Oryctolagus cuniculus: one gene and its partners. The protein of the gene in region 1 purifies or fractionates together with the protein of each later gene. This does not show direct contact. Links are inferred from orthologs where the notes say so. Each region holds a gene or a part of one and is shown in the gene's direction. Other genes may lie near its edges.

Region 1 (4,227 bases):
CCATCTGACCTCTGCGGAGCCACAGGGAGGCCTCCTCACTGTGTTTTCTTTTCTTCTTCTTCTTTTTTTTTAAACAGGCAGAGTTAGTAAGAGAGAGAGAGACAGAGAGAAAGGTCTTCCTTCTGTTGGTTCACCCCCCCAAATGGCTGCTATGGCTGGCATGCTGCGCCGATTCAGGAGCCAGGTGCTTCCTCCTGGTCTCCCATGCGGGTGCAGAGCCCAAGCACCTGGGCCACCCTCCACTGCCTTCCCGGGACACAGCAGAGAGCTGGACTGGAAGAGGAGCAACCGGGACAGAATCTGGCGCCCCGACCGGGACTAGAACCCGGTGTGCCAGCGCCGCAGGCGGAGGATTAGCCTAGTGAGCTGCCGCACTGGCAACCTCACTGTGTTTTCTTTCATCTGTTCTTTTCCTCTGGAGCCCTCATCACAAGTGTCTTTACAGAACAGAGTGCTTATTTGTTTAAGGTCTGTTAATCCCCCGAGGGGCTGGGCTGGATCTCCTGTTCTCCTCACGCTTCGCAGCTCAGCGACAGCGGCACTTTGAGTACAAGCCACGCTCTGACCACTAATGTTCTGCCAGGTTCCCTGTGCCAGTAGCCATCTAGCCTCATGCCCACTGACTGCTCACCACCAGGACTTACCTAAGCCAGAGGCCCTCTTGTGAGGCAGAAAACAGAGGTGGATAGGTTCAAGTCCCCAGTTGTGAGTGACGTGGCCGCTCGGTAAGTCATGTAGAACTTCTCTGAACGTCCTCATCAGTAAACTGGGGACCAGTGTCCCTGATTAGAGGGTGATTATGAGGACCACGTGTGATCAGGATCAGCCTGCCTCCCACTTCAAAGGCTTGTCACTAGGTGGCAGTCCATCTCAGCTCCCCCGCTGGCCCTTAGTTGACAGGAGCCTAGTGCTGTGAGCCTTAGGGGCCACACTTGAAGGAACCAAAAGTGCAGGAGCATGCACACACACGCAAGTTACTACCACCGCGAGATAGTCAGAGGCAGCTCCACACACCTAGTACTGGGTGCGGTTGCCTGAACACATGCTCTCCTGTCCTCACAAATCCCAACTCACCTGGATCTTTCTCCGGAAAGCTCTGCTGGGCCGCGCCTCTCTGAAATGCAGCACCTGGCGCAACACGTGTCAGGCATGCCTCCCCATGACCGCAGATGTCCTCAGTTTTCACAGCATTCAGGAAGACGAAGAGGGTGAATGATTCCAGACAGAAGCCTGCTGACGGGAGGAGAGAGAGTGAAGAAGCCAGGAGATAGGAAGGGGCCAGGCCCATCAGAACCTGCTGTGTGCCACTCAGGGCGGGAGAATAGTAGACCAGAGGTAGGTGATCATGGTTTTATTTCTTTTAAAAGATTTAAACATGGAGAACAGACGCAGGTGAGAGAGGCCACGGCCTGGTGGGCTTGCAGGCAAAGTGAACAGGCCTCGGTGGATCTGACCTGGGGCAGACAGAGGAATCGAGGTTACTGGCCAGGTTTTTGGCTTATGCAATCGAGAGGAGTTTGGTGCCATGTTCTGAGAAAGCGAAGGCTGGGGAGCCGTGTGGGAGTGTGGGTGAGGCAGCCGCATTAGGTAGCAACGTGGTGCGGACAGTGGGACGTGGAGGTGGAGGCACTGGTACCGGCGCACTGCGTGAAGTCAGGTCGCTATGGGTACTGGCCCAGGACAGAGTCCAGAGCGAGGTCAGGAAAACCAAAGTTCAGGAGCGCACCTGCAGGAGGGGTGTGAGGCAGGGCCTGAGCCCGCCTCACGGATCCGACCTGCGTCCTGCCTCGTGGGGAACGAGGGCGAGGAGCAACGGGCAACGCCAAGAGAGGGAGAGAGACAGGGCCGCTGGGGGCTACAGGTCAGGTCTCCAGACAGCGCGGGCGCGGGTTTAACGAGCCCTGCGGGGGATGCTCACGCCCGAAGCGCTTCTCCGAGGAAGGGCACCTACGCAAGGGCAGGACGGACGTGGGGTTCGCCTTCGCAAGGGCGGCCTGTGGGCCAGCTCTGCGCGGGCAGGGGGAGGGGGCGGGACAGAACGCTGTCCATCAGAGCCCGCTGACCAATCCTCGGGATGCCCCGCCCCCACTCCTCCCCGAAGAGGGCGCGCGGAGAACCCGCCTCCGCCGCCGCCGCCGCCGCCGCCGCCGCCGCGGGTGTGAGGCGGCCCGGCCTGGCCCGGTTCCCTCCGCCGGGCAATTCGCCCAGGTAATTGGGTTTGGCCAGGCGGACCCGAGGGGCGCGTCGCACCCTCACATCTTCTCCAGGTGGCTGTGCGGGCGGCGCGGAGGCTGCGGTCGGGCCTGTGCGGGACAGTGGGCGGGTGGCTTCGCGTGCACGAGCGCCTGACTGACGGGCCGGTCGGTCGCGGGCCTGCAGCCTGTGGGCGGGGCTGCCGTGCGTGACGGGGCCGGTGGAGGCCCCGCGCCCTGCCGGGGTCGCGTGAGGAAGCTCTGCGGGGCCGAGCGACGGACGGATTGCTTGAGAGCGGGGCGTACCATGGCGCCCCGCGCCCCCGCTTGCGGCCTGGCCGGGGGTCGCGGGGCGCAGGCGCGGTGGGCCGGGGGCGGGGGTCCTCCCCACGGGCGCGCGGGCGCCTTTGTTCCTGGCGCGCGGGCGGGGCGGATCCTCGGGCCGCCCCGCCTTCGGTGTTTAGGCTCCGCCCCGTGTCCGCCCGCAGGAGCCGCCGCCGGGTCCCGGTCGCCGGCCGCCTCAGCTGCCGCCTCCTCCTCCTCCTGCTCCCGGCTCCTCCGGCTTGTGCCGCCGCCGCCGCCCCCAGCGTCGGAGCCATGGCGGGCGCCGCGTCCCCTTGCGCCAATGGCTGCGCTCCCGGCGCGCCCTCGGAAGCCGAGGTGCTGCACCTCTGCCGCAGCCTCGAGGTGGGCACCGTCATGACTTTGTTCTACTCCAAGAAGTCGCAGCGGCCCGAGCGGAAGACCTTCCAGGTCAAACTGGAGACGCGCCAGATCACGTGGAGCCGCGGCGCCGACAAGATCGAGGGGGCCAGTAAGTGCCGCCCCCGGGCCCGCTGCGCGCGCGGGGCTGGCGAGGCGCGCGCGGCCGCGGCCCTCCCTGGCGACTTGGGCAAACTTTGGGCTCTCCCCACCCCCACTGGACCCGCCCCCGCCTCGGCTCCGGTGCTCACTGGGGGGCGGGGATCATCCAAATCCTCGGTCACCTGATAGGACGCCCCCTCCCCCGGCTGGGGGGACTCCTCCAGACGTCTTTCCCTGAGGCCTAAAAAATCCTGGCGGACTGGAGTCCAGCGGGGCAGGCGTCGAGCCCCTCCAGTCCCGGGAAGGAGCGGCGGTGGCGGGCGAGGGGAGCCAAGCTGCGCCCACCCTGCCCGCGATCGGGGCCCGAGGGTCACTGCCCTCCCCCTCTGCAGAAAGAGCGGTGCGAGATTCCCTGGGTCCCAAGGCTGGGCTCTTCATTGCAAGGGAACCTTTGGGTTCCCTGGGTAAAAATTAGGCAGATGTTGAGGTAGGGCTGGTTTTGAAACAGGGCTAGGCCTGCTCATCTGCTTGGGGAGGGAGAAGAAGGTGGTCCTTTCTGTCTTGGCGAAGCCTGAGAAAGGCCGCTTTTACTTGCTGCTGCTTTTGTCCCAAAGCTGAGTTTTTGGAGGCCTATGCCGGTGCCCAAAGCCGGGGCAGGCTCTTGGGTAAAGGGGCTGTGCCCTTGCACTTGGAAGCACCCACCTGAAGCTTGGCCCCAGACAGGCCAGTCCAAGTGCCTTGGCGTCAGGTACTCCTGTCTCAGAGCGGGTAGCCTGTTTGGGGTCTAGCCCTTTGTGTCCTGTGTCCGGTGGCCACAGGGAGCCGACAGTGGCTCCCCCCTTGGTTTCCTGCCTCTGTGCCTTGCCAGGCCTGAGCTTGGCTGCTTTTGCGCAGGTCTCTAGTGGGAGGAGGGGGTTAGGGGATTTTGAAAAAACCCCAGATCTTTCAGTGTGTTACTGCACTCACTGCATGCCTGAGCTGTGGCCGGATGGGCACTCAGCTCTGCCCTCCTTTCTCTCTCGCCTTCCTGTGTGAACAGATGATGTTTCTGTAACCCCAGGCTGTGGGTTGTTTCCTCCAAGGACCCCCCAGAGATGGGTACTAGAACCAGGGGCATGTGGAGAAAGGGGTCAGGAAGCGACAGCCCTGGAGAGGCTCCCACCGAGGTTCTTGGGTCTGGTGTGCATGCGTGTAGATGAGTGAGGAGATTGGGAGGAAGGAAGGTGTTGTG
Region 2 (3,644 bases), on another chromosome or scaffold:
AGTGACATCAACAGCCTTCACAGACCCCGCCCTGTGGAACCCACATCTGTCACCCAGCCCTGAGTTGACCGAGTCCCTCCACCTGCCTGCAGGCCCAGCTCCGCCTGTCCCTGTCGTACGACCGAGCTTGATCCTGATCTCAGCTTGGATTTGAACCCTAGCAGAGTAGCCACCTCCACCAGAGCTCCCACCACCTCCGTGTCCCTCTGCTAACCCCCTCTGGGTTGGGGGAAACTCAGCAGCTGAAGATTCTTCCCGGACCCAGTTAACTCAGGTCCAGCCGTCCCGCACACTACTGTTTCGGTTCCTTCTGCGTCGGCCTCCAGGGCCCCCCACCACTGTCATCTGCTGAAGCAGGAAGGCCTCCCAGGAGGGTGTTGGGGGTGGATGCTTGTTGCAAGGTCATAGGGAACAATGTTGGAGTGGTGGATAATCCTGGATTCTCAAGGGCCAGCGGGGGCAGAGCGGCAGGGGGAGAATCCCTGGGGTCCTCCCATGGCCACATCCAACCTCAGCTCGGCAGACATCTGCTCTGCAAGAGTTCAGAGCACCTCACACGTGGGGAAGCCCCTCCCCAGTGGCTGCCATGGTTGCCCCGATGTCCCCCACCCCTGCCTCTCCTCCACTCCTGACCTCTGAGCAGCCCAGAGCAGCACAAGCCGAGTGTGAGGCCCTCCACGTGCCTGCGTCCTGCCTGACCAGCTCCCGTGATCCTCACACGTGGCTGGGTGTAAGGATTTCACACACTCACCGTCTCCTTTGACCCTAACGTCAACCCCAAGGATGGGTCTTCATTATCCCAAGGAGACAGATGAAGAAGCTGAGGCTCCACCCGTGGTTTCCAGTCACTGACAGTAATGCCCTCTGGGCTTGAGTGCAGAGGCCGCCCCAAGATTGGCGGCTCCAGTTCTTGCCGGGACAGGAAGAGGTTTGAGGAAACAATGAGAATGGAGGCCCAGTGCTTTCAGGGGCTGGCAGGCACGAGGAGAAGCAGAGGAGCCGGCTCGGCGTCCTGCTGCCCCGCCCCCTGTCCCATCCTGCTTCTGTGCCAGGGAGCAGACAGGCAGCAGAGGCACAAGGCACGCTGTCCTCCCTGGGGCCAATGGCACACCCCCTGGCTATCCAGATGCGGGCTCCAAAGCCCCTGGGCCCCCCCCCGCTGGAGAGAGTCCTGGGCACTGGCATGGGTGGGGGCTCCCCTCAAAGTGCGCCTGTCCCACTGCCTTCCCCAGGGCGGGCTGAGCCGAGCCACCAATGACCTCACGACCTCATGGTGTCCTCTGGTCTCTCCCCGCAGGCGGCGGAGGTGGCTGGAATGATAACACTTCCTTGCTCTGGGCTGGAAAGTCTTTGCTGGAGGGAGCCACCGGAGGACATTCCTGCCCCCAGGCCATGAAGAAGTGGGGGTGGGAGACAAGAGGGGGTTTCGGAGGGGGTGGAGGGGGGTGCTCCTCCGGTGGAGGAGGCGGAGGATACATAGGTAAAGATGATTCGTGTTCAAGGTGTCACTCCCTCCCCCTCTTAGTCCTAGGCACCTCACCTCCCTGTCTGCTCCCGCCCTTCCCCCCCTCCCCGGCCGCCCCAGTGGGTGTGGGCCATGATGTCACTGCACGCCACCCCCAGCCAGAGGCAGCGTGTTGGCTTCCAAGCGAGCACCCTGCCTCCAGGCTGCCCTAGAGTCAGCATCAAGATCCCTCAGGATCCTTGATCTCCCCCAAAGCCAACCATCAAGGGGCTTTGGCTTCCCGGGTGCTTCTCGGAGCCACCTGTAAGGACTCGCTGGCCTGAGCACCTCAGAGCCCGGATGGCCCATCCCCAGGCCTCCCTCTGGATGGCTGGGCCGTGCCAGCTCCTTCAGGGACCAGCTGCGGTGGCCCAGACCCCTCCTTCTCCCTCCCCCGCTCCAGCCACCAGCTGCCAGGAAGGCGCAGCTCGCTTGCTCACCAAAGGGAGCTACTCTGAGGGCCACTGCGGGCAGCCGCAGCCCAGCCCCCAGCAAGCAGCCGGCCACTGGCCCAGCTGTGTCCTAGCGCCTTCCAGAGCTGAGAGGCTGGGAGGCCGAGTCCCGCCCCCCAGACTAGGACACAATGCATGCCCGCACTGTGACGTTCGTGTCTGTGTTTGGCTTTGATGCTGTCTTACCCACATGCTGTTCCTCTCCAAGCCCCAGAGGGAGGGCGGGAGGGAGTCCCTGGGGGGGAGTCCCAAGATCACCCAACCCCAGATGAATGGAGGGACGGGAGCCTCCAGGCACAGAGCTCATGGCCCCACGGCCAAACCCTGACCCCCTGAGACTGGAGAGCAGCCCCTTAGCTATTCTCTCCTGCCCCTGCCTGAAGTGGGTGCCGAGGGTGCATCCCCACCTGGGCACTCGAGAACTTTCCAGACTGCTAGTCACACTGACTCCTTCCTAGGGGGACTCCAGCAGAGTGGTGGAGACCCTCCCACCCCCGTTGGAGCAGGCCACAGCCTGGAGGGAAACATGGTCCATGCCTCTCCAAGCCTCTCCCAGCCGCTCCCAGCCCTCGTCCCAAGGCAGCATCTGTGCCCTGAGCCTCCCTTCCCTCCCACCTCGCCTGCCCCTGAGCCCCCAGGGACCCCTGGCCTGGGCAAAGCTGCACGCCCCGCTTCTGCGCATGTGTGTGGAGGTTGTGACGCCCACCCCTTTGTGTTAAACTCTGCCCTGGTTTGCCACAGGCGGCAACGCAGCCTCAAACAATGACCCTGAGATGGATGGGGAAGATGGGATTTCATTTATCAGTCCACTGGGCATCCTGTACACCCCAGCTTTGAAAGGTACCCCTCTGTGTGGGTCCCCCAGCAAGGTGACACCCCAGGGTCCCTCTGAGCCCAGGATACAAAGGACAACAAGGGGTCTCTCACAGACAAGACTTCCTGCCCCGGGCTTCTGGGGGTCAGATTGTGTGGTTTAATGCAGACAGGGAGGCAGAATACTGTCCCCTAGACACTCCCAGAAAATGCAGCGGGGACAGCCCATGTCCCTGTCCCAGCCCACCTCAGAGGCACGCATGAGGACTCTCCCATGTCACATAAAACTGCTCGTGTCCCTGGACACCCACCTGCCCTCTGTCCAAGCGCCACACTCCAGATGCACTGGAAGACTGCCCCAGACAGAGCGGTGCTCCCAGTGGCAGTGGGACTGGGACTGGGAACCAAAGAATCACCCCCCCCCCCGAGACCCCTAGAGACAGAGCCCAGGGCTGGGCATGGGTGCAAGGTGCACTCCCCAGGTTCAGCCAAGACTGACCCTGCCTCCTTGTCACAGTGATGGAGGGCCATGGGGAAGTGAATATTAAACATTACCTAAACTGCAGTCACTGTGAGGTAGACGAATGTCACATGGACCCGGAGACCCACAAGGTCATCTGCTTCTGTGACCACGGAACGGTGCTGGCCCAGGACGGCGTCTCCTGTGTTGGTAAGAGGGTGGGGCCAGGGGAGGGGAGGGCCCAGAGCTGAGCTTTGCACACTGCTCCAGTTGGTTCTAGGACTCGGTTTTGTGAGCATCCTGTCCCTGCCTGGCCTGTGCAGCGTGGTGTTCTGAGGACGGGGGCAGGAGGGGCTGAACAGGAAATGTGTTGAAGACATGGAAACGTCATCTGGCCCCGCTCCTGGCCCAGGGC
Region 3 (3,644 bases), on another chromosome or scaffold:
CATTTAGCTACTTTTACATTTTATACAGACCTGAATGCTTGTCAGTTAAGTCTTACTGAATGAGGTTAAAAGCTAAATACAAAATCTGTAGCTTACTTCATGTAGTACCCTCTGTATACGCAGTATGCGTGACTGATTTCATAGTAAAAAGGAAGAACACTGAGTCACTTAGACATTAATTTGCTTGAAACACGACCTGTAACTGGTTAGTCTCCCGTCAGAGCCTCTAGTTCTGAAACTGTGCTTCAGTATGTTCACTGTGCAATTATTACGAACTGCTTTGGCAACTCATGGAATTTATAAAAAGACTTGATTATTATTCTTTTTCTTACTCTTCCAATAAGGAAGCAGACCTGGAGAGGGTAAATAATTTGTCTAAGATTATGTATAGGGAAAGTCAGTGGCGGAAGCAGAGCTAAAGGAGACCTTCTGAAACTCAATCCAATATCCATAACATTGTTGCAGGCTTTTGTTAAGCATACCCTAACCAGTTGAAGATAACTGGAAGCATAGTGCAAAAGTCTCAGAGAATGTAACTGTTTTCTAATGATTTATTATATGGAATATATACTGCCAGTCATGTTATCTGAGAAAACCTAGAGGAAACCACTAAAGATGCCAGTATGTACCATGAGTTTTGAAAATGTGTGTTAATCTTGCCTCCAACCTATATTCTGTCAAGGGGCTTCTAATCCTAGCAGGTAAAAATCTCCTGGTTAATTATGATATAAATATTTAAGAAGTGTAGATTTGGTTTTTCTTGGCTTTCATGATGATGGGGGGAACAGAAAACAATTATAAGCATAGTGTTTCAGCACAGTTAAGAGGTTTGCAGAATAACATACTTAAGTATCAAAATGCTTAAAGAATTATGTGATTGCCATGAATATAAATGCTGTTTGAAAAGTAACATACTCAGGTTTTTATGATATTAAAATATGTGCCACTTGGCTAACTAACTTTTTATTAGCAAATGCAGAGAATTTGGGCTATCGAATCAGAGAAGAAAGACTAACAATTATGTTAGACTCTAGAAGGAATTTTATTAAGTATGGTGGAATAATACTTCAGATGTAGTAAATCAAAGGTTGATTTTTGGAATGTTACTCAAGTTACATGCCTATAAAAGGTACTCCTGTAGTATTCCAGAAATGTTTGATTCCTAAGGATGCCGCTTCCCTAAGTATAGAATGTAATAGTAGCCTAAAATAACTGAGTATTAAATTCCCTTTTCATATAATATCTGTAGTTCTCTAAAACTTTTTTTTTTTACCTGGTATTCAGTGGTTTTGTATTCCTGCGGCTTATCTGTCCTGCGATTCTGAATCCTCGGATGTTTAATATCATCTCAGGTAATCTTTACAAGTTTTGATTAAAAGAAGCAATTTCATGTTATTTAAGATGAATAATCACTTTTTAAATGTATTGCAAATGATCAAATTCTAAGACTTGGTTTAAAACATTCTAAAGTACTCTTCCCTTTTCTTCCTCCTTCATTATTAGCTTTTGTGTAGTCTGAAACCTGACCTGGCAAGATTCAATGCATTCCATTTTTTATCTACCTCTTTGTATCCAAAAATCTTAGGATGATATTTTAAGAGTTTGTAACTTGGCTTTTCAAGGTGGCAAACTCTCTGTAATTAGCCCATGCAAAACTACTCAAGCTGGAGCTACTTGAAGATCAAAATAAAATTCCATGTACAGGTGCAGGAGTGTTGTGTGTGTATCTATAGACAATGTGATGTTCATTGGCCATTTTAAACTCCAGTAAACGTGATGTGGTATGTTTGTGACATTGAATACAATGATGAGTTACCATTAATATCTTTTATTGCTACTTAACGGGCTCAAGCATTTCATCAGCTAAGAATTAAAGATCATTTGGAGAGATGTACCTGAATGTTGGACTCTGAACCACTATTCCATAGTATTTAGTTTAGTGCCTTAAGACAGTATAATCCAAAATCAGGCAGCCAGGTCATTTCTAAACTTCAGAGTCTGTATTTAATAGCCACAATACTTTGCATTTCTATCCTATCTACATTATGTAAATGTTTATTAAATTGCATGTTTTTCTCCTCCACATAAAGGTGTCAAAAATCTCTTTGTTCTTAAGCTTTGATACCACCACCTAGTTTTTAGAGGACCCTTTTCATAAAGCTAAAGTACTAATAAATATATTGAGGTTTTCATGTGTAGCTCTGCTTTTTCTCAAAAACTTAAGAGTTACTGAATTACTAACAGCAGTAACCGGTAAATACATAATGGTTTATTTGCAAGTGCCTTTGCAGTCTGTGTCAGTAGCTGTGGCCAATTCTCCTACAGATTCACCATCTCCTATTGCTGCAAGAACACTGATATTAGTGGCCAAGTCTGTGCAGAATTTAGCAAATCTTGTGGAATTTGGAGCTAAGGTAAAAACATCTTGATACTTTATGAATCAAACTGTGATACAGAAATATAGCTTAAATAATTTTACAAAACAGTGTATACCTTATAAAGATTCTGTTTCACTTGCTATGTTTTAATATTTGGACTTTCTATTTTTAACAAATGAACTTAAAAGCTTTCATTTTTAGCCAACAGAGAAGATTATATTCTCCCTTTTAAATATAAAGACCAATGAGCAAGATTTAAAATGTAACTTTATTTCACTGTAAACATTAAAAGAAAAATGTATTCGGGAGCAGTCACTGTTACTAAGTGATCACATTATCAAGCATAATGCGGTAGACACCTTAGTTCATCCTTCTAGCAAGCCTAGTACTGGCAACAGAGCAGACCAAATCATCTCCACCTTCTGCTAAATGGGTGGGGTCTTTGTCTTCACCCCACCTTATGAGGAAGATAACCTGAAGGGCTACAGGAAGCCAGTTGCTTCCTGAAAGTTCTTTCCAACAGTGTATCTCCTGATCAAATCCTCCATGAAGATGCCGAGTATCACCTGTGAAGGCAGTCCACTTCTTGCTGATTTTGCCACACCCACACTTGCAAATCAGTTCATTGACCTTAAAAGATACAGGTATCACCATGCACTATATGGTTCCATCTCCTCAGCCTGTGTGAAAGGGGTTCTAAAATACCCACATGTGATCACATTTCAGATTGAACAATTGTTGCTTGTATGGTTGAGATCATACTGTCACCCCTTACCATATTTCGTAGGTTTGGAGCAAAATTTAAGCTTTTGCAATGTATTTGCTCCCTACAGCCTTATCAAAACTCAGTGGGTATTCTTTCTTATTTTTGGAATTGCCTATTGAGGCCCTTATGTCATGGACTTTTAAGAGTTGCATTAGTATTCCTATTTTATAGCGCATTTCTTTCAGTAGGCTTAGGATTTTGAGTATAATGAGCAGCTTACTAGTATGATTTGGCTTTAGAATTTATCTGAATCTTGTGGCAGGTTATGAATAATGTGTTTTCATTTTGAGGTTTTATCACACTATATTTTCATTCCTTATAACCTTTGCTGTATTCTAACCTGTGGCTTGGGCCCGTTTGTTTTGGTGCTGGGCAAGTAATAGCTTTTCCATTATTTTTGAATGAATGTATGTGTAAGCAGTTTGTGTCTGCCAGACTCTGTTGTGATGTGTGTTTTGAGCCAGGATTTCTCCTTCTTTGATTAAAAATAATCGAGTTCC

Evidence for each region.
Region 2: the proteins of PLCG1 (region 1) and ALK purify together in Homo sapiens (affinity purification with western blotting; 3 studies listed by BioGRID, with this or other methods). This does not show direct contact. The link is inferred for Oryctolagus cuniculus from reciprocal best matches to the Homo sapiens genes PLCG1 and ALK.
Region 3: the proteins of PLCG1 (region 1) and RASA1 purify together in Homo sapiens (affinity purification with western blotting; 3 studies listed by BioGRID and IntAct, with this or other methods). This does not show direct contact. The link is inferred for Oryctolagus cuniculus from reciprocal best matches to the Homo sapiens genes PLCG1 and RASA1.

Annotation. Positions count from the first base shown.
Region 1 is NC_091442.1:17,799,382-17,803,608, reverse strand, and holds the start of PLCG1 (1-phosphatidylinositol 4,5-bisphosphate phosphodiesterase gamma-1), read left to right. Parts: upstream 1-1,319; 5' UTR 1,320-1,335; intron 1,336-2,082; exon of another isoform or gene 2,083-2,208; intron 2,209-2,252; exon of another isoform or gene 2,253-2,267; intron 2,268-2,680; 5' UTR 2,681-2,789; coding exon 2,790-3,006; intron 3,007-4,227. UniProt on the Homo sapiens protein: Mediates the production of the second messenger molecules diacylglycerol (DAG) and inositol 1,4,5-trisphosphate (IP3). Plays an important role in the regulation of intracellular signaling cascades.
Region 2 is NC_091433.1:173,776,488-173,780,131, forward strand, and holds part of ALK (ALK tyrosine kinase receptor), read left to right. Parts: intron 1-1,297; coding exon 1,298-1,480; intron 1,481-2,697; coding exon 2,698-2,796; intron 2,797-3,286; coding exon 3,287-3,439; intron 3,440-3,644. UniProt on the Homo sapiens protein: Neuronal receptor tyrosine kinase that is essentially and transiently expressed in specific regions of the central and peripheral nervous systems and plays an important role in the genesis and differentiation of the nervous system.
Region 3 is NC_091445.1:10,287,039-10,290,682, forward strand, and holds part of RASA1 (ras GTPase-activating protein 1), read left to right. Parts: intron 1-1,284; coding exon 1,285-1,352; intron 1,353-2,325; coding exon 2,326-2,414; intron 2,415-3,644. UniProt on the Homo sapiens protein: Inhibitory regulator of the Ras-cyclic AMP pathway. Stimulates the GTPase of normal but not oncogenic Ras p21; this stimulation may be further increased in the presence of NCK1.